Caenorhabditis elegans: one gene and its partner. The protein of the gene in region 1 interacts with the protein of each later gene in a pairwise test. Each region holds a gene or a part of one and is shown in the gene's direction. Other genes may lie near its edges.

Region 1 (11,827 bases):
GTGACAGTGTGAGCTGGGATCTTATCTGGAACACCAGCGAGAAGAGCAGCTTCTCTAGCAATGTTACTGGTCTTGCATTCTTGAATAACTGTTCCACAAATAATGTGATCGAGTTGTTCATATGGCAGCTTTGTCTTCTCCACTAGTGCTGAAAAATGAAAAATTAATTTTCCTTATTTACAAATTTCTATACAAACCCTTGATAGCTTCTTTCTGTAAGTCAACAGCCATTAAATCCTTGAAAACAGTTCCAGAAACGACAAATGGAGTACGAACTGCATCGACAAGTACAATATTTGGCATATTTTTCTTGGCGACTGCCGAAGCGGCACGAGCAGTCCCGAACGAAGTGCTAACTGCGCGGAGCATCTTCTGAAAAGAAATCAGATTTAATTTTGGAGGTGGTTTATTTTTGAGAATAAATCTCCAAAGAACAAAAAATGCGTTCAAGAAAATAATTTAACGTACGAAAGAGAACAAAAAACAAATATGGAATCAAATTTGGTTCGCTACGTGTACTCTTATCATTTCATCATTGCCTACGGACAGAAGGGGACAAAGTATTTTCCCTCTCCTTTGAAAGAACACAGCAGAATAATTTTACACCCTTTCTTGATTTTTGAGAATATTAAACCAGACTTACTCTATTTGAAACGACAGCAGAACAAAAGCAACGGATCAAAAAATGAAATGAATTTAAATAATTTCTACATTGAAAAACCAAGAATTTAGAGAAACATTTAAAAAAAAGAAACGTGGCCGATCAGAAAAGAAAAAAATATATACTACAAAGTTCACAAAAAAAAATTCTTAAAAGCTGAAGAAAGAAAGTTCAAAATGTTAAAATCCAAAAAGAAATAATCAAACTAGAAAACAAATACACAATCGATAGATATAGTGTAGGTCACCAACACACAAGATAATAAGTGATGAGAGGAGGAGACGAGACGAACACAACAAGAAAACCTGGCTGTTGTGGCCTCCCATGCGCCGCCCGTCCGTCCGTCTGGACTTTGTACCTTGATAAATTCTCTATGTAGGCTACGGGTAGATAACTAATTTTACAGACACGAGGTGCAAATTGAACAGGAAAACGTGGTATGGGTTTGGAAAAAGGCAGGATGGGAAAAATTACGGGCAGTTTAATTTGAGCTGAGAGAAAGTTATTTGAAGGAGGACGAACGGTTCTGGGTTTAGCGCTTGTATAGGCTCAATATGTGCCAAAATAAACGAATTTCGTATTAAGACTTCTCAAAAATGTATCAAACATTTCTCGGTGGTTCAAAATAAATATAATATTAAACTCCTAAATATTTTACACATTTTCTCGTTTATCTCAAATTATTTCGTTGGTTAAGTAAATTTTAAGCGTAGAGGAATGCAAATTTTGTTAGTCTTTTGTTATTTTAGTATATTTATACAAAAAATCGAGGAAATATCAAATAAAATCAAGATATTCTGATGAAAAATGTTGAAAAAAAAGTTTTGATAAATAAAATAAACTCTCGCGCTTATCGGGTGTACTACGGTATTAAAGGCACATAAGCGTATGTCTGACGTTGGGTCTCGCAGCGTTTGCAATAACCAGCTGGAAGGGAGAAATGGAAATTAAATTTTTTTTAACGAAAAGATCTGTTCCATTGTTATTTTTCTAGTTTTTTCCCACTTTTTCTCAAAAGTTTTTCTCTAATTCGAATACTTTTCGTTTAAAAGTTTGCCAAATTCATTTTGAGGTACATAAATTAATAGCAAAATCACAAATATCACAACAAATACAATTAATTCATTTTTCCTTTCTTTTTTCACTTCACTCAACACCTTTTTCGATTCTTATCTTCTTTCGAATTCTTTTTCTAATCTACTCTCTCATTTCGCCTCTTTATAAATACTACTTTCTTACAGGCTAAATAGTTTTTTTTCACAAAAATAATTTCTGAAAAAACAAATTTTAAATTCTTTTTATAAAATTTAACAAAAAGGTTGTTTTCCTAAAAAAGCGTGCAATTGCCCGTCGATTAGTGCGCTTTCACGTATCGATTCTCTGCGCCAAGGAACATTTTAACCAACACGCTTCTCTTTATTTCTCTCAGTCTCTCAAGCATCATCTGATTTCATATTATTCTTCACTTTATTCTTCATTATTCCAGACAACACAACTAGACAAAAATGAATGCATTAATTGTTAAATCTGCACTCGAATATTTAGAGGTAAGTTGAACATTTATTGATTTTTTGAACCCTTTTCCCATTTTTTCATTGTTATGAAAAAGTGTCAAATTGAAATTGTTTAACTTCAAATCTAAAAAAAACTATTTTCAGCTAAGCACAGTCGTCGCAATATTAATCATCATAGCATGTGCACTTTTATCATATCAAATCTCTGCTCGAAGGCCTTTATATTATAACTTATTTGTTGTAGAAATGCACACTTGGACAACTAGGAGGATGGTGCAGGTAATTTTATTTAAATATTAAAAGAAAAAAAAAACGAAAAACACTATTGGAAAATTTCGAATAAATTTCTAAACTTCAAAATACAGGTTCTTCATCTCGGTCAAGAGTTCACACCGCCCGTCACATGGGAACGATTAGTTCAACGAATGAGGGCAAGAGCTCCACGAATTCAAGGAGAGCAAAGAGTGGCAATTTCTGATACAAATATTGTGATACAGTCGCCGAATACGGTTATTGATTCACCAGCTCCTGCAAGGTTTACTTTTAAAAATGTATTCAAATGTTTAATATTTCCAATTCCAGATCACCAGACGTTGACCTAATAACATTATGGGACATTGAAATGCCGCCACCGAGTGCTGGTCACGTGCCTGACGCCACAAGGGATAGTCAGTATGCTGCTGCAGCGGCGATAGCAATTTTAGCTAGAGGGTTAGTTTTTAAAAAGTTTAATTTAAGGTTTAAAACATTCAAAAATTCTGTATTTTTCCAGAGACGACGCATCTTTGATGTCTCGAACGTACAGGCCTCAACTTCGTCCACCAACAGAACGATCTGGAAATACTCGAGTTGATGAGTCGAGACCCAGCGTAAATGAAGAAAAAAAATTGATTTTAAAATAATTTATTTTGGTTCAGGAAAATTCTTCACGACATGATTACGTTACTACAGACGTTACGTATACGACTCCATGTAAGTTTTTCATATTGCTTTTTTTCGAAACTTTACCCGAACAATTTTAGCTAAAACTTCAAATATGACATAAAATCGACAATTTAATATTTATTTTCAATTTTTTGTAGGAAAAGCCTGAAAATTAGAGAAGAGATGAAACTAATTCATTTAAAAAATTAGAATCAGTTTCTTAATTTTTTAACAGTTACATTCGGTCATTCCGGCCTTTTTTATAATTAAAAGTAAAATCCCCGCCTGAAAATTAAAAATGTATGGATTTTCAGCAATAAACCCGGATATGCAACATCATCTTTCAACAAGAACGTCAAATGTAACACAAACTCAGCCTCCAACAAATCAAGTGTTCGCTGATACACCAGAGCTTACAGAAGATATTGTGATAGATCAACAGGAAGAAGATGATGAAGAGGATGACGATGACGATAGTTCAGATGATGCAATAATAGAAGATCATGAAGAAGAAGAAGGTCAAGATGATGATGAAGAAACTGAAATTGAAATTGATAGAGGAGGTCCTATTGAAGAAATTGAGCAAGTCGAAGTTGAGCAAAATGAGGATCCGCCACTGGATGATCAAGAAGTAGAAGCTCAACCGGAGCAAGTTCTTCAAGAAACTAAAGAATCCGAATTTCCAGTAATCGAAGGACCATCAGAAGGGAAGATTTTGATAAAGCTAAAGTTTATGAATGATACCGAGAAAAACACGTATGCATCACTGGAGGATACTGTAGCAAAGTTCAAAGTAGATCATTTCACAAATCTTGCGAATCAGGTCATACGGCTCATTTATCAAGGTATCTTTAATTTTTTATGTAAAGTAAAAACAGTTAGTAATGTATTTTAAAGTTTAAAAAAATTAATGAAAACAAATGTTTGGCATTTGGCAAAAAAGCTTTTTAAAAAATATTTCAAAAATGATAAAAAATAAGTGAAAACAAAGATCTAACGATTATTTTTTGCGAATTCCATAAAATTTCTGAAAATATAGAACACAATTTTATTGGCCTATATCTAAAGTATTCGTTGAAAGACACAAAAATGTACCTATCGACCGCAATTTATTTTGTTGATAATTTGATAGATTGGAAAAATTGTGAAAACGTGCCACAGTTGAAAGTTTTATAGAATTCCCAAAATTTAATACCACTGGCTCATAATCCTGAAAATCAAATGGAAAAATGAATATTAAAAAAAACTATTTGAAAAAATTAAAAGTCTTTTCTTCAAGCCTAAATAATTTTTAACTGAATTTTTCAGGCCAACTTCTCAGAGAAGATCATCGAACGCTAGAAGAATATGGTCTTCAACCAGGAAGTATAGTTCATTGTCATATTAGTACAACACCATATACACGACCAGGAATAGCAACTCTTCCTCCAATTGTCAATAATGGTTTTCGACGAAGACCTCGAAGATCCGTCAGAGCTCCACGTGACACAACTCCAATGCCGTCGGAAAGTGTTCCAGTAGTTGATGAGAATGTTACAACAGCAAGAAGAAGAGCTGCGCAGGACAGAAATGTTGGACAGATCTATTTACTTTTATCAACAATGGTTCCAATTCTTTCTGGAATTGGATTGGCATTTTTCCGTCCTGATCGAATTCGAGATCTACTTCGGCCAGCCACACTTCTGACGATTAGCCAATGGGTATGCAATTTACTTGTTGATAATGGATTGTTGGAACAAGATGATGATGATCAGGAAACTCATTTGCAAACTTCAACATTATTTTGGATTTTTGGAGGTGATTCTAATTTTCAAAAAAAAACACGTCAAAACGCAATATTTATTACAGGTCAAATGGTCGCAGTGAGCATATTTCTGTACTACTTTCCAGATGTATTTGATCGAGTCGGCTTTTCGATCTTCATTATTGTATTTCTTTACTTCGTTTTTGTGGTTTATTCACGTCAGCGACGACGCCAACCGGATCCTGTTGAGGTTCAAAATGAAATGATGGAAAATCAAATCGTCCAGGAGACTATTCGTCTTCTGTAAATTTTAATTTATATTTCACAGTGAGTTTTTATTTATTAGGAAAAATAAATTAAATTTACTTCAAAAAAACTTTTTAATTAATTGAAAACGAAAAAGTTATGAATTTATTTTCTTTTGAAAAAAGCTTTCGAAAAAAAACCAGAAATATTAATTTTTGCTTTAAAATTGAGTTTCGATTAAAAAGCTAACAAATAAATAGTTGTTTTTATTCAGCAATAGATTTTTCAATTTTCAGATTCTTGTACACTTCAAATCGAAACCATTATGATTCTAGCCACAACAAAATTGCACACAAAATGGGTATCAAAACACTTGGTTTTTTTTTCAAAATTTTCCACTTGAAACGGATCAGACAGAGGATGAGAAGATCCAAACATACACACATCGAATACTGCGAAATTTTATTCAATAATTCTTATTCCCCCCACCCCGTCCGTGTGTTCTGTGTATATTTGACTCGGTTCTTGTTTTTCATCTTTCTTTTGCATCATCATTAGATACTTCACTAGTAATAAATTGGTAGCTTTTATACAATTGTGGACTACAAAAAATACAGTGCTAAAGGATGTTTGATTGTAAACTTCGAAGAAGGCAGCAGCACAATTGAGTTGAGTAAATATGGAGAAAAGTTGGAGGCAAATAAACCCTTCAAGACCCCCTTTGGATTCACTTTTCCACCCAGATAGATAGTTGCTCCAACATTGAGAATAATGGTAAGGCTACCACCTCCAACGCCACCACGGAAGCCTAATATATGTGGGACATCTGGAAATTCAAATGGAATAAATGAGAATATTGGTAAGTTTTTTTTTAAACTTTATGCTGATTTTCAGATGTTTGTGAGATTTTTAGAGAAATAATTAATTCTAAAAATAATTTCGATGTATTTTTAAATGAAAAAAAAAACCACTTTTCGAAATTATAATTTTGAGATAAATTTAATTAACCTGAAAGCAGGATCTGCGAGCGAACGGCAAAATTCGCAAAAATAGGCGGTAGGCAGGTATGTAGGCAGTAAGGCTAGAGGCAGACACGAAAATGTAAATTCCTACGGCAGCTTTATCGGAAAAGTTGAGACGACTAATTTTTTAATAGTGATAAAGAATATGTGCCTTTCAGGAGTACTGTAATTTTCTGCAACGAAAGTCTGAAATTACAGTACCCCTTAAAGGCGCATATTCTTTTGAATCCAGCAAGCATTTGTCGTGTCGAGACCAGGCATCTATTTTTGGCATATGGGTAATATAATTTGATAAGTTGGAAAATATTGAAATTTTTTTTAAATTTCATTAAAAAACATTTGCTGTCACAATTACCACAAAATTTCCACATATTGTTCATAGATTTTTCGTTTTGGAGCCAAGAAAAGGTTCTCGCACTTGTCAGTATGTAGATAATTATAGGAAATCTTGCAATATACAGTGTGGGAAAGTTCTATAGGACCCCCCCTAATTTGAAGGTTTGAGGAACTTCCGAAAATTTTTTCGAAAAACTGCTAATGCCGTTCGTTTTTAAATTGAAAAAAACCTATATACATTTTTTTCCAGAAGTTTATCTCAAAAACTGAGGTCGCGCTGGAAAAAACGTCAAAATCCAGTGTGAAACTTCTATAGGACCCCCCGTTTTTTTTCACGATTTTTACTAAAATCAACAGATTTTGGAATTTTTGACAAAGCTCAAATCAAGTTTGAGTTAGAAATGAGTTCAGATAAGCAGTTTTGACTTTAAAAATTAATACGAAATGTTCTCGTGGGATCTCCAGACTGGTTCTGATTCTTCCGATCTTTGATGTTCAAGTCTGTTTCAAGCTTCCTGGTGCTCTCGGTAATGCAAAAACTTGATAAACTCTCTTTAACAAGTTCCTACTAAAATTCCTAGCACGCACTTTAGATGTTTCGACTGTGTAGTCAAGCTGATTTGGCAAAATATGCAGCAGGAAACAATGGAAGGCTTATCAGGAATCAAATCGTTTTTCTTTGATTACAAGGTTCCATGGGACCAATATTTCAAGTTAAATTGTCCCTCACAGATGTTATTTACTATTTTTTGCGTGAATTATTAAATGTGGAATTGTGGCATGTGTTGTGGCACACATATAGAGGCTGGAAAGCTTACTTCGAAAGCAGTCTAACTTGCAATGCCTCGAGGATCTGCCCTTTCGGACACTGAACGCGCTCAGCTGGATGTTATGAAATTGCTCAATGTGTCCCTGCATGAAATGAGTAGGAAAATTTCCCGTTCTCGACACTGTATTCGCGAGTATCTGAAGGATCCGGTGAGCTACGGTACATCTAAAAGAGCTCCTCGTCGCAAAGCTCTCTCCGTGCGTGACGAACGAAATGTGATTCGTGCTGCCTCCAACTCCTGTAAGACGGCAAGAGATATTCGCAATGAGCTTCAATTGTCTGCTTCAAAAAGGACCATCCTCAATGTCATCAAACGATCTGGTGTAATCGTTCGTCAGAAACTTCGCCCTGCTCCGTTACTCTCTGCAGACCATAAACTCAAGCGATTGGAATTTGCTAAGAACAATATGGGAACGAATTGGAGTAAAGTGAGAATTTAAAAAAGCAAGAGTGAATAATTAGGATCATTGTTTTAGGTTGTCTTCTCCGATGAAAAGAAATTCAATCTCGATGGGCCTGACGGTTGCCGCTACTATTGGCGCGATTTGCGCAAGGAACCAATGGTTTTTTCGAGACGTAATTTTGGAGGAGGAACGGTGATGGTTTGGGGAGCGTTCACGGAGAAGAAGAAGCTTGAGATACAGTTCGTCAGTAGCAAGATGAACAGCACTGACTATCAGAACGTCTTGGAACTGGAGCTCTCCAAATATCTTCGTCACTACTCCAGAAAAGACTTTAGATTTCAGCAGGATAATGCGACAATCCATGTGAGCAACTCAACCCGCGACTATTTCAAGCTCAAGAAGATCAACCTTCTTGATTGGCCAGCTCGAAGTCCTGATCTCAATCCAATCGAAAATTTGTGGGGGATTCTTGTCCGTATCGTGTATGCTCAGAACAAGACTTACCCAACAGTTGCATCGTTGAAGCAAGGAATTCTCGACGCTTGGAAGTCTATTCCGGACAACCAGCTGAAAAGTTTGGTCAGATCAATGGAGGACAGACTGATTGAGATCATCCGCACACAAGGAAACCCGATTAACTATTGATCCTTTCTTGATTTTAGTATATGAATGTTCTGTTGTTGATCAAAAATAACTGCAACTTGTTAATACGCTGTTTCTGACTGGTTTCTTGGGGATGGCGTAAAAATGTTTATGGTGTGTGTGCTAGGAATTTTAGTAGGAACTTGTTAAAGAGAGTTTATCAAGTTTTGGCATTACCGAGAGCACCAGGAAGCTTGAAACAGACTTGAACATCAAAGATCGGAAGAATCAGAACCAGTCTGGAGATCCCACGAGAACATTTCGTATTAATTTTTTAAAGTCAAAACTGCTTATCTGAACTCATTTCTAACTCAAACTTGATTTGAGCTTTGTCAAAAATTCCAAAATCTGTTGATTTTAGTAAAAATCGTGAAAAAAAACGGGGGGTCCTATAGAAGTTTCACACTGGATTTTGACGTTTTTTCCAGCGCGACCTCAGTTTTTGAGATAAACTTCTGGAAAAAAATGTATATAGGTTTTTTTCAATTTAAAAACGAATGGCATTAGCAGTTTTTCAAAAAAATTTTCGGAAGTTCCTCAAACCTTCAAATTAGGGGGGGTCCTATAGAACTTTCCCACACTGTATATTTTATCTATTTAAAACAATAAAAGAAGAAATAACAGGATGCTCTGGAAAGCTATGATGACTCATGCTCGAATGACGTGTCTTTTTTCAATGATTTGTCGAAATATGTGTCCGAGGTGTGTCTAGTCACAACATACATTCGTCACTTTCTCTCATTCTCTCGGCAAACACAAGAGTTTCCATTGCCTATCTGTCTGCGTTTCTATAACTTATACACTCTCTCGTATTCCTAGTCTTTTTCCTTTTTCTTCCATCCATCGATTTCCCCAGTTCTCATTCTTTTTATTTCTTTTTCTGGCAGTTTTAGGGTTTCTCACGCTCTTTTGTTCGGGCTGGTGCTCAATTTTCATGTCAAAAGGTAAGATTTGAAAATTTATTTACAGTTTCGTATTATCTAAATGTCCTGAGAGTAAGGATTTCTTGAAGACGATATTTAGATATTATATAACTACATAAGTTCTAGCTAAAATTCTGACTCCCATGAAAGCAGGAAATGCCTACCTGCCTGCCTATAGGCCAGATAAAACTTGATTTGAAAAACAATTACGCCAACTTTTTTTATGAACCAAGTGATAACATTAGTTAAGGCTCCATTTCAAATAAACCAAGCTTTGTTTATTTTCATATCCTATCTATTTAGTAAACCATATTTCCAGATACCAGTACCTTCTCAGTCTCAGCCGCCAAGGCATTATTCGAGTCAGCCAAAAGACCAGAGGTTCGGAATGCCGCAATCGCAGCCGCCAAGAATCCATTCGTCAGACAAACAGCTAAAAATGTTGCACAAGATGAGAAGGCACGTGGAGCAGTGTTGAATGCTGTCAAGGACCCAAGTGGTGGAAATAAGATCTCAGCTGCATTTGCAGTTGCTGATGCTAATCGAAAGTCTGATTCAGTTCCACCACCACCACCACATCGAGGAGGAACATCGCCTGGAAAACTTTCTGGATCACATTCTGCAATTAGATCACAATTGGAAAATATGCATATCGGAGGATCGGTGATGTCAAGCAGTGAGTTTTGAAAGATTAAAAAAAAACAGATCAAACAAAAGATTATCAAAATAAAACACTCCGAAGTTTTAGATGTTTCAAAATTTATAGCTAACGTTTTGGTAAATTGCCAAATTTTCCAAAAAGCTTGGATATTCTGATAAATGTCGAGTTAATATCGAGTTAACTGCCGGAAGTAGGCGGAAGGTACAAATGTAAACAGGCAAGGGAATATCTGGAGACATGCCTACCGACTATTTTTTTCTTCAAAAAGTTCTAAAATTTCAGATTCTTCTACTGCAACTCCATCGTATCAATCCAACTCAACATCTTCTTACTCTTCATCTGCACCAGTTGCCCCGCCTCCAGTGCCACGTCATACACAATCAATCCCGTCTTATTCGGCACCAGCCATCAGTACTCCTTATGGAATTGCCAAGTTTGATTACGCTCCGACACAATCTGATGAGATGGGATTGAGAATTGGGGATACGGTTTTAATTTCTAAAAAAGTGGATGCGGAGTGGTTTTATGGTTAGTTGATTTCAAATTAATTTTTATATGGAGTAAGAGGAGATGTTCTCGATTTTTGCAGAAACAATCGCATTAAATGTTTGAAACTTAGTTACTCAATACATAATCTTCCATTGTTTCAGGTGAGAATCAAAACCAGCGCACATTTGGAATTGTTCCATCATCCTACCTTGACATCAAGATCCCATTGAAAGAAGCTTTCACAGCTCTGCCTCCACGACCAGCAGCTCCATCTGGATCATCTTCAGGCACATATGCAACTGCAATCTATGACTATAATTCGAACGAAGCTGGAGATTTGAATGTGAGTTTTTAAAAGACATCTAAAAATATTTGTAAATCTGAATGTTCTTTCAGTTCGCTGTCGGATCACAAATTATGGTAACAGCTCGTGTAAATGAAGAATGGCTAGAAGGTGAATGCTTTGGTAGATCAGGAATCTTTCCATCTCAATTTGTGGATTGTCCAAATCTTTATCAAGTTCCAATGAAACAATCAGCTCCATCATCTGCTCCATCTTATTCTCATCCAATTACAAACAATAGTGGTCCCAAACAAACCGTTACTGTATCTTATGATTACGATTCTGGAGTTGCTTCTGACCTCCGATTATTCGAAGGTGACGTCATCACAGCCCTGGAAGACATTGATGCTCAATGGTTGCTCGCAGAATGTCGTGGACAACAGGGAATGGTTCCGAAGACCTTCTTGGGACCACCATACGGATCTCCAAAGAAGGCACCGTCAAAAGGAATCGCTGAAATTGCATGTGCATTCTCTCCGAAGAAGGCAGTTGCCACTGGTGACTATCATTCCGAAGATCCCAAACATCTTTATGTGACACGTGGCGATCATTTATTGATTGTGGAAGATGTTGATGACTACTATTACAAGGGAAAATTGGAAGCTTTCAAGACTTTGCCAGCGGGTATTCTGCCAAAGAATATTGTCAAATTGGAAAATTGATTCTGGTCTTGATTATTTCTCACTAAATTCACTTTCTAGCTTTATATGTGCCAGTTTTTTGTATTTTCTAATATGTCATTTATTTACAAAATTCAAATTTTCCCCGATGCGTGTTTTGTGCCGATTGTCAAATTTTCTAGAAATGTATTTTCAATAAATTGCCTTATCAAGTGTGGGCCTAGCGTTTCCAATTAACGTTTGTAGATCAATTTCAAATAGCTCATTTCTCTGCGTTACTATAATAGTTATTTTGTGAACTTCCAAAACTTCAGAAAAATGTTAAAGTAAATTTATTGAGGAGAATAATGAATTTGAAGAATTTGTTACAATATGATGAACGTAATATTATGTAGGTTCGATTATTCAAATATTTATACGACACATTCAATTTTAGTAGACGAGAAAAATCGGCTTGGTGCATCCAAAT
Region 2 (10,316 bases), on another chromosome or scaffold:
TAGACGACTACGGCGTCCCTCTGGATACAAGCCTCAGAACTTCCATGGAGTTTTCGTTTCCAGCGATTGCTTTTGACGTTTTTTTAGGATTCAAAATTTATTCTTATTCAAGAATAGCATCATTTGAAATTGAGTATATAAATCCAATTCAAACCAGTTTTGTTGAATTTCAAACTCTAAGTTGAGTCTTAAATGTATAAACATGAACTGCTCCTGGTATCCTTAACCAGAATGGATAGCGCGTTTAAAGGTGGAGTAGCGCCAGTGGGGATTTTGTCTAAATACACTTATACTGATCCAAAACAACCGAATATCATAATAAAACACTCCAAAAAATTTTAGATTTTTCAAAATATCCGGTCAAAGTTTAGGAAAATTGCCAAAATTTTGTAATTGTCACATTTTGACAGTAAATAAAAAATTTTCAAAATATTTTTGAAAAGTTTTATTGTGATATTCGGTTAGTTTGGCACCATAGAAGTAGTTTTTAACACTTTCCCCCGTGGCGCTACTCCACTTTTAAGTATAGATGACAGTTTGTTTTACAAGGATGTGAGAATACAAAAATTATTGTTAAGCACATTTCATGGCTCTATGAATGTGAATGTGGTTTTTATAACGCTTAATTTATAAAAATGTTGTCTTGCAGAGGTCTCTTCAAAATTTTTGATACTAACACACTTGTGAGCAGTGTTCTAGAACTCAATGGCACAGTTTTCAATAGATATTTGAAAATTTCCTATTGCATATTGTGTAAATTTAGCTTTGAAAATAATTGTATGTCGAAAAATATTTGTTTTTTCCAGTTTTTTTTCAGTCCAGCTATCCGTCCGTCACTATGCAATTTCAAATACTTTGTTAACAAAATATATATCTAGACACTGGTTAGATTTGGAACGAAAACAAAAACTTTCTTCTCTTCCTTTTCCTTTTGTCGTTTATTCTGTGAGTTTGGCTTAGCAAGCCTCCCGGACCACGACGTCGTCATCGGCGCCGTCAGTGCTCCGCGTTTTTTTTTGTGGAGCCAAGAGAAAGAGGGCAGAAAGAGCTTCAAACTGCGGTCGGGAGCTCTAACACACACGTCTTGCTTTTCTTCTTCTGCTTTTGCTCTCCCTGTGTGCGAGAATATGTACATACGCGAAAAATGTGCGCGCGGGGGGGGGGGGCCCCTGCCGAGTAGCAGTGCGCAGCACACATACATAGCAGAATATCGACTAATCGAAAACGCCTCCTTCCTTTTTCTTTTTTCCTTCTTTCTGCTTCGTTTTTCTTTCTTTTTCTTATTCTTATTCTTCGTTTTCCGTTTTTGTTTTCTTTTTCTTCCTTGATATTCTCCTCAGCCTGCTTTGCTCGCTATGGAGTGAAGGGACAACAAAAAACTCAGCTGTTATTTATTCCATGTTCTGTTTTGCTTTACAATTAAAAAAATCAATTGAGCTATTTTGCTAGATTTTCAATACTTTTAAACCATGTTTTATAAATGTTTTATAAATTTCAGAGCATATGAAATCATTGTACATCAACTGATTAGTCACAAATTCATTATCAGGAGTAGTATGGGAATGTTAAATTCGTTATTTGTTTACACACCGCTGGTTCTTAGTAAAATTTTCTAATAGGAAGTAACTGGAATTTGTTTGGAAACCTACAAATCTGTTAATTTCGGAATTAATATCCAAGTTTCCAAATTAGCAGAAATAAAATTTTGAAGTAATATCTGGTTGAAATGTTGTGTTTCTGCTATAAAACTTGAAAAGAAACCTTGAATCCTGCTAGAGAATCGCCTTTGGTCAGAAAATCGAACATCAGTTTTTACTGCAAGTGACAATTTTCAGGGAGTATTTGAAGCCGTTATTTTTAATCCCAACTTTTTAAATGAAAATGAGTATATTTTTCATATTTATGATATGCATATATATATGTTCAATCTATCTGTGTTAGAGCTTGATGATTATTTCGAATCGGGCGGGTTTAAAGATCTGCCAAAAAAATTTGCAGTACTACCCTGTCTTGAAAAAAAAAGAAGAAAAACTGTGATACAATTTAACAATCATGAACATACGACAATTCTCTACAAATTATAATATCATAATGAATTCCATATTTTGTTTAAACAAATTGGACTAAATGAATTTCCTCGTCTCTAATAAACAAATAGAACGTGGAAAAACCTTCTTACTAATCATGATTTCTGGTCACAATTGTGACTCGATATTTGCTAAGATGACGATTTTTCTTTTCTTCCTACGGTACTGATCGGACTGTTGTAAAAGTTTCACAATTTTGAAATATTTTATTTTATTTTTATTTTGCATAATTTCCAAAGGTCATCCATCTCATTTCCATTCTCAATAAAAAAAATTTTTAAAGTCTGCCTCTTTTTATTAAAGAAACGATGTTATTTGCTCACTAACTTCCATTCACACGTTTCCAGCGAGATAGCAGGTAAGTTGAGAGACGCAGGTGGTTAGACTACAAACAGAAGGGTGGCCGGCTGCCACCCTCTCCACACCACTATTTCACAACATTTACAATGAATTGATCTACCCGCCAAATTCTGGTTTTCGGCAATCCAAAACTGTTCGCTTTGTTTTCCACTTTTTCATTTTTCATTTCTCCTCCACTACTTATTTGGATTTTCTTTTTCAAATGTGTCCCGTTTAGTTTTTTTTTGCATCTAACAACCTTCTGTTTTTTTCCAATATTTTCATTAAACAAGCCTCCAAATTCTTCATAAAATTCCTCGTGAAAAGAAATTTCTTGTCGTGGTTACTGCTGACGCGTTTTGCGATGAGTGTGTGTTGGCACGCTCTCCGCCGTCGCTGGCCAAGCCTTTTTCTCTCCCCGCCGCAGTACTGACTGCGAGGCTGACTCACTGCGGTCATTTCGTTTGCCTCACCCTCACTTTTAGTCTCTGCATCTCCGAGTCTCTCCGCGCTTTTTTGTACGCCGATCGTTTCTTCTTCTTGTTTTCCAAACATTCAACACCGTTTTGCCGACAATGATTCTGAATATTTGTTGATTTTGTTTTTTCAAATGCGATTTGAGGATTTTTTTTTCTAATTTTATATTCTATATTCTTGAAGGTGATAAATTTCATTCTAAAACATAATTATTAAACCTCCGAAAACCTCATTGCGAAATCGTGCTTTTTCCATTAAATCTTCTCAATGCTCTTCCTCATATCATTAATCGACTAAAAAAATCGATTTTCAGGTAGTTCAGCGTATAACCACCAGGATCAGCCATGTCGTGGCAAAACCAGGGAATGCAGGCGTTGATCCCTGTGATCAATCGTGTCCAGGACGCCTTCTCCCAGCTGGGCACATCTGTCAGCTTCGAACTTCCACAGATCGCCGTCGTCGGAGGACAGTCCGCTGGAAAGTCGTCGGTGCTGGAGAATTTTGTCGGAAAGTGAGTCACAAGAAGAAAAAAAACATAACTTTGCGAAATAAAATCACAATTTTTTTCCTTTCCAGAGACTTCTTGCCACGTGGATCAGGAATCGTAACACGTCGTCCACTTATTTTGCAGCTTATTCAAGATCGCAATGAGTACGCCGAGTTCCTACACAAGAAGGGTCATCGCTTTGTGGATTTTGATGCAGTTCGGAAAGAGATTGAGGATGAGACTGATCGTGTCACTGGACAGAATAAGGGAATCAGTCCACATCCAATCAACTTGCGTGTCTTTTCTCCAAATGGTAAGCATTTAGAAACTCACAGAAACGCAAGTGCGCTGGATGATTTGAGCATCTGAAACCAGACTTATGCAACTTTTTTTAAAATTTAAATTGCATTAAAGATTTCATAAATTTACAGTGAGTTGCACAAAATCACTGGAAAAATTCACACATTTTAATTAATTCATACTTAATTTTTCAGTTCTAAATCTGACACTCATCGATTTGCCCGGTCTCACAAAAGTGCCCGTCGGAGATCAACCAGCAGATATTGAGCAACAGATCCGTGACATGATTCTCACATTCATCAACCGTGAGACTTGCCTCATTCTTGCCGTCACTCCGGCCAACAGCGATCTCGCCACTTCGGATGCGTTGAAACTTGCGAAGGAAGTCGATCCACAGGGTCTTCGCACGATTGGAGTCCTCACCAAACTTGACTTGATGGACGAGGGAACCGATGCTCGCGAGATCCTCGAGAACAAGCTGTTCACACTTCGTCGTGGCTACGTCGGAGTTGTCAATCGTGGGCAGAAGGATATTGTCGGTCGCAAGGATATTAGAGCTGCTTTGGACGCCGAGAGAAAGTTCTTCATCTCACACCCATCCTACCGACATATGGCTGATCGGTTGGGAACAAGCTACCTTCAACACACTCTTAATCAACAGCTCACCAATCATATCCGTGATACACTGCCAACACTTCGTGATAGTCTTCAAAAGAAGATGTTTGCTATGGAAAAGGATGTGGCCGAGTACAAGAACTACCAGCCAAATGATCCAGGCCGCAAGACCAAGGCTCTTTTGCAGTAAGTGATTTCAATGGAGGTGCTTTATTAACAAAATTTTTGCAGAATGGTTACCCAGTTCAATGCTGACATTGAGCGCTCCATTGAAGGTTCCTCTGCAAAGCTGGTTTCAACCAATGAGCTCAGTGGAGGAGCCCGTATCAATCGGCTTTTCCATGAGCGTTTCCCATTTGAGATTGTTAAAATGGAAATTGACGAGAAAGAAATGCGCAAAGAAATCCAGTATGCCATCAGAAACATTCACGGTATCCGCGTCGGTCTCTTCACTCCGGATATGGCGTTTGAGGCAATTGCCAAAAAGCAAATCACCCGTCTGAAGGAGCCATCGTTGAAATGCGTTGATCTGGTGGTCAACGAGTTGGCTAATGTGATCAGACAGTGCGCTGACACTATGGCTAGATATCCACGTCTTCGTGACGAGCTGGAAAGAATCGTCGTCTCGCATATGCGTGAACGTGAGCAAATTGCCAAGCAGCAAATTGGGCTCATTGTTGACTACGAACTCGCTTATATGAACACAAACCATGAGGATTTCATTGGATTCAGCAAGTAGGAGTTTAGACTTTGCTTTTAGATGTTTAATTTTATTTTTTTAGTGCTGAAGCAAAAGCCTCCCAAGGACAATCAGCGAAGAAGAATCTTGGAAACCAGGTGATCAGAAAGGGCTGGCTCTCACTGAGCAACGTATCGTTTGTGCGTGGCTCCAAGGACAATTGGTTTGTGCTCATGTCGGACAGTTTGAGTTGGTACAAAGATGATGAGGAGAAGGAGAAGAAGTACATGCTCCCATTGGATGGTGTCAAGCTGAAGGATATTGAGGGTGGATTTATGTCTCGTAACCACAAGTTTGCTCTGTTCTACCCCGACGGAAAGTGAGTTACTCAAGAATTTTGCGATTTGATTGCCATTTCAACATTCCAAGAGCCCGCACGCTTTTCTTTCCACATTAGAGTTTCATTAGGCAGAAACACAGGAACACTAAATTGAGCATGAGTTTTGAAACGAGACAAAAAACGCACACACACACAAAATCAATTTTTTTTGAATATTTGTTTAAATTAAATTAATTTGCAGGAGGTGAGTGTATAGTTTACTTTCTTCACTTCTTCTTCTTCTTTAATGACTTGTAAGACAGAAAAACCTTTGTGTTGTCGTCCTTGTGATCTGTTTTCATTTTTTTTACCCGAAAAGTTTATCCACCTTGAAACCAACACCTTTCACTTCTGTAGTCAATTTCTTATTTTTCCTGTTTCTCTTTCTCTGCTGTGACAGTTTCAGTTCAGACAAAAAAAAATACAGCATGCAAAATGCTTTTTAGATAAAAGATTCTGAACCAGCATGAAGATGTAAACTCATGTATCCTTGACCTCACGCACTTGCTTCTCCCATAACCCTTTGAATTCCAGGAACATCTACAAGGATTACAAGCAGCTTGAGTTGGGATGCACCAATTTGGACGAAATTGATGCGTGGAAGGCTTCATTCTTGCGTGCTGGTGTCTATCCAGAAAAGCAGAAGGCACAGGAAGATGAGTCCCAACAAGAGATGGAGGATACCTCGATTGATCCACAACTTGAGAGACAGGTGGAGACAATCCGTAATTTGGTTGATTCCTACATGAGAATCATTACCAAGACAATTAAGGACCTGGTTCCAAAGGCGGTGATGCATTTGATTGTTAACCAGGTGAGGGATTTTAAAAGAATTGAATGATTCATCGTGATATCATCACGGCCTGTTTTTTTAACCGTACACAATAAACCTTAAACTAAATATCTCAATAATTTCAGACAGGTGAGTTCATGAAAGATGAACTTTTGGCCCATCTCTACCAATGCGGCGACACTGATGCTCTCATGGAGGAATCTCAAATAGAAGCCCAGAAGCGCGAGGAGATGCTCCGAATGTACCATGCTTGCAAGGAGGCGCTCCGCATTATCTCTGAAGTCAACATGAGCACCCTTGGCGACCAGCCGCCGCCATTGCCGATGTCTGACTACCGCCCACACCCATCTGGACCTTCACCGGTGCCGCGTCCGGCTCCTGCTCCACCAGGCGGACGTCAGGCCCCAATGCCACCACGCGGAGGACCCGGTGCCCCACCACCACCAGGCATGAGACCACCACCAGGTGCGCCAGGAGGCGGCGGTGGCATGTACCCACCGTTGATTCCAACGTAAGTTTATGCCTATTTTTTTTCGAAAAGAGCACCAGATCTCTTCTAATCTTTCCTATTTTGGTCCGTCATACTCTTTCTTCTGTCAAAATTTTTTTTCTGAAATTTAGAAAAAAAAATACTGTCAACAAGTCAGAATAAAACCTAAAACTAACGTGTACCAACCACTCTAGGCGTCCGGGACCAGGCGGCCCACCACCCAACATGGCACCGCCTAGATAATAATGTTGTGAATAATTCCCCCACTGACCAAAGGTTTGTTAATCGCGAAGAAGCAGTACAGAGAAGTGTATAATTGTTTGTTGTAATCGTGATGTGTATTAGCAGCATCTATCTAGTGTTGTGATCCCTTGGCACTTTATCGGAACATTTTTATATTCCACTATCTTCCTGTGATTTTTTCTACAGAAAGAAGCAAAAGCTAACTTTTCTTTCTCATCAAATTTTTCATAATTTCGTCATTATTTGCATGTTTCAATGGTGGTCTAGCTTTCTGTTGTTGTAGTATTAATCTGAAACGTTGTTTTTTTTTTCAGAAGAGTACCGACACCATCCAACGGAGCACCAGAGATTCCAGCTCGCCCGCAAGTCCCCAAGAGACCTTTCTAAATGCTTTTACATCTCCATCCTAGCTCACTTGTCATACTATTACCGTTCCCATAGTAATTGTACAATGCCCCCGTTTTATCAAGCATTTCTTTTTTTTTTTTGAGAATTTTTAAATTAATCAATATCCCGAGTTCTTCCACCTTTTGAGCAAGTCTCGTTGAGGATTGCATTGGTCCCAGCGCTAACTAGGCGTCAATTCATCCACCTCTCCATTCTCTCTCCCGTTCCAACTGTGTTTTTCTTTGTCAGCGGCGAATTTTCCACAACCAATCGAGTCCTATTTCTCTTTTTTTCCCCCACCTCCCAATAATTTTATTTGCATGTTTTATAAACTCACTTTGTTCAATAATTTATTGATTTTATTTTTTCTATGATTTGAAACTTTACATTTTTCCTACTCTTCTATAGCAATACTTTGTCACTTACAATAACCCCCCCCCCCCAGTCTGCCTATATTTATTTAGATGTTCTTTATGGCCACCCAATGTATAAACTCTTTTAGTGCATTTGTAGGTTCTTTCTTCATCCCACCCAATTCCCCCTCCACCACAAATCCCAGTTTTGATTATTTTAAGCCCATATTTATAAGAAGTAAATATATTTATAGATTTTTCTTAGATTATAAGCTCTTCTAGGTTTTCCCTCGTTGAGAAGAATGATCTGAAAAAGCCTAAATTATAGATTTTTGAAACGTATTGTGTAGAATTTGTATTTATTCGTGAAAGTGGAATAAAGTTAAAACGGAAAAATGTAGTATTAGTTTTGTGCAAAACATTGGCCCTATAAATGTAGATGTAGGAAAGTCTGTTTATTCTTGGAAAAATCCCTAATTTTTGTGAAATTGTTTGGTTTGCAGCGGTCGGAAGCAATCTTGAAAATAATTATCATTTGTAATCACATTTTGGTAATTTATTACGTTTATTTTCTTCATTGATTGGTAGGTATATGTTTTCTTTCGAAAGATGAACAAATGATAGTGAATTGGTGCACCTATAAACGGAAAATATACCTTAAACAATTAATGGTTAAAAAATCCACAATGAAGAAAAGATATTAGAAAATTCCGGTTGCTAAGACATTGAAAAAAACTTGAAAAAAGACTTTGAAAACTTGACAAAATTTGGCACTTTTGAAAAGAACCCATTTAAAACTTAAAGCATGTACTAAAACGAGAACTTTATTTGAAAATTATTATATGTGTATTGCTGCGCTTGTACATTTAAAAAAAGGAACCTTTTCAATTGATACTTAAAACAAATAGAAGTTTTTTAATCCATATCCTCAAGCTTCGCAGATAAACCCTCAATATGCCAAACTCTAATAAGTAGCAATGTAACATGTTTTTGGCGCTGGTGAGTAGGTACTAAAAATTTAATAAATGTTTCCGATTTAAAATTTTAGATCTCGTCAGAATCGTTGTCAACGCAGAACTACAATTCTGGCATACTTTTGTTATAACGATATCAAATACCAAAGAACTCGTCGAAATTGCATACTTGTTGATGGAACCATCCGTTCAACTGAACGCCAGCCAGTTTATTACTTAAATGAAAACTAATTTTTCAATTGATGACGGTTAGTGACTTTAGGTTTCATTTGATCAGCGTAGTTGCTGACACTTAATGGTTCGGGAACATAAAAGAACATGTCGAACACGTACATGACGACTGCTTAAAAGTTGAAAATTTCCCATATCCGTTTCTCATTTTATGTAGTCTCTTTCAGTGTGGCTACTAACGATTTTGCAATTTTACATTATACTTTGTTTGTGAGTTTCAGGAAACTTGTGAATTCGTTCAAACCCTTCAGAATCAGAATAAAAAATGGTGCTTTGTATTTCTTAAATTTTAATAACTTTTTCACGAGCACTACATTTTAAAATTTTGTAGAAGTTGTCTGTTTGCACCCATTTAATTTCAAATGTGTCATAAGTCAACAACTGGCACGTTGAGTATACATAGAAAAGAATGATTTTACCTTTTAATATTTTTTTTGTTATAAAAGCTTGCAACATTTTTATTACCTCTATGGATAAAAAACGAAGGCTAGGAGAAAGAATCTAAAAACTCGGATTAGTTTTTGGATACAAAACAGAAGATTAGAATATTTCCCTTCACGAATTTTGAGGGTAAAACAATTTTACCGAAGTTTTCAAAGGTTTTTGTTCAAGATTCCATTCATTTTTTTTGAAATACTTCATACACGTGGTGTCAGGTTGTTACGGTTTGACTTACAAATTTTGCCCAAAAAATGAGACGTCAGCACGTTTTTAGCCATTTAAATCAGTTAAGAACTCTGTGTCTCAACTCCCGCATTTTTTGTAGATATTTGTAGATCAAACCGAAATGAGACACTCTGACACCACGAGTTCATATTGTGAAACTCTCTTGAATACTTATCACTGTGCCAACCCATGTCACACTTTTAAATACATTGAACAGTATAAAAAACTCAGGTCAAAAGTAACATTTGATTGATCCCCCCCATTTCCTTCTGAACTTTGCTTCTCCTGTTTTTGCGTCGTTTCGCCATCATCATTAAAGTGACTCTTGGACTTGAGACTCTAGTTGCTTATCGATTGGTGATTGAAAAAGTAGGAGAAACGAATCTTTTCATCTACTCCTCTTCTGCACCCGCCTTCTCTTCCTCTTCTTCATCCAGCAGTGCCATTTCTCTTCGGCAGCAAGAATGGTGTGTAAAGTGATGACGGCGCAGTTTCTTCTGGCACAGGAGTAGCACAGCACAACCTCAGCAGTAGTTGGAGCAACCCAGCAGCAGCATATTTTCGATACTCATCGAGCACTTGCCGTTGTGTTGTGTCATCCGCCAACAAATCAGCAAACAACGTTTTTTATCCCGATCATTATTTTTTTTCCTCGCTCTGGGTTGGACTTGTCTATGTTTCAATTTTTATTACAAAAATAATGGAAGAAAAACATTTGTTTGAAAATTTTAATCCCTACTTTAAAGTTATATTATATATAGAAAATAAGTCTAAAAAATGTTTTATTATTTTTTTAAATTTTATTTAAAATTTTGA

Evidence for each region.
Region 2: the proteins of B0303.7 (region 1) and dyn-1 interact in a two-hybrid assay, tested with the Caenorhabditis elegans proteins (2 studies listed by BioGRID).

The regions. Positions count from the first base shown.
Region 1 is NC_003281.10:8,687,795-8,699,621, forward strand, and holds B0303.7 (SH3 domain-containing protein), read left to right. Parts: upstream 1-5,827; 5' UTR 5,828-5,860; coding exon 5,861-5,948; intron 5,949-9,150; exon of another isoform or gene 9,151-9,256; coding exon of another isoform or gene 9,257-9,266; intron 9,267-9,564; coding exon 9,565-9,921; intron 9,922-10,188; coding exon 10,189-10,434; intron 10,435-10,556; coding exon 10,557-10,738; intron 10,739-10,791; coding exon 10,792-11,400; 3' UTR 11,401-11,727; downstream 11,728-11,827. Other genes in the region: hadb-1 (putative 3-ketoacyl-CoA thiolase), read right to left, coding at 1-148, 198-369; B0303.4 (transmembrane and ubiquitin-like domain-containing family 1 protein), read left to right, coding at 2,167-2,208, 2,320-2,454, 2,541-2,710, 2,758-2,886, 2,948-3,044, 3,093-3,147, 3,414-3,944, 4,408-4,896 and 1 more; sdz-1 (Skn-1 dependent zygotic transcript 1 protein), read right to left, coding at 11,772-11,827.
Region 2 is NC_003284.9:15,565,674-15,575,989, forward strand, and holds dyn-1 (Dynamin), read left to right. Parts: upstream 1-3,247; coding exon 3,248-3,414; intron 3,415-3,479; coding exon 3,480-3,703; intron 3,704-3,884; coding exon 3,885-4,491; intron 4,492-4,536; coding exon 4,537-5,040; intron 5,041-5,087; coding exon 5,088-5,363; intron 5,364-5,897; coding exon 5,898-6,177; intron 6,178-6,281; coding exon 6,282-6,667; intron 6,668-6,840; coding exon of another isoform or gene 6,841-6,889; exon of another isoform or gene 6,890-6,922; intron 6,923-7,203; coding exon 7,204-7,276; downstream 7,277-10,316.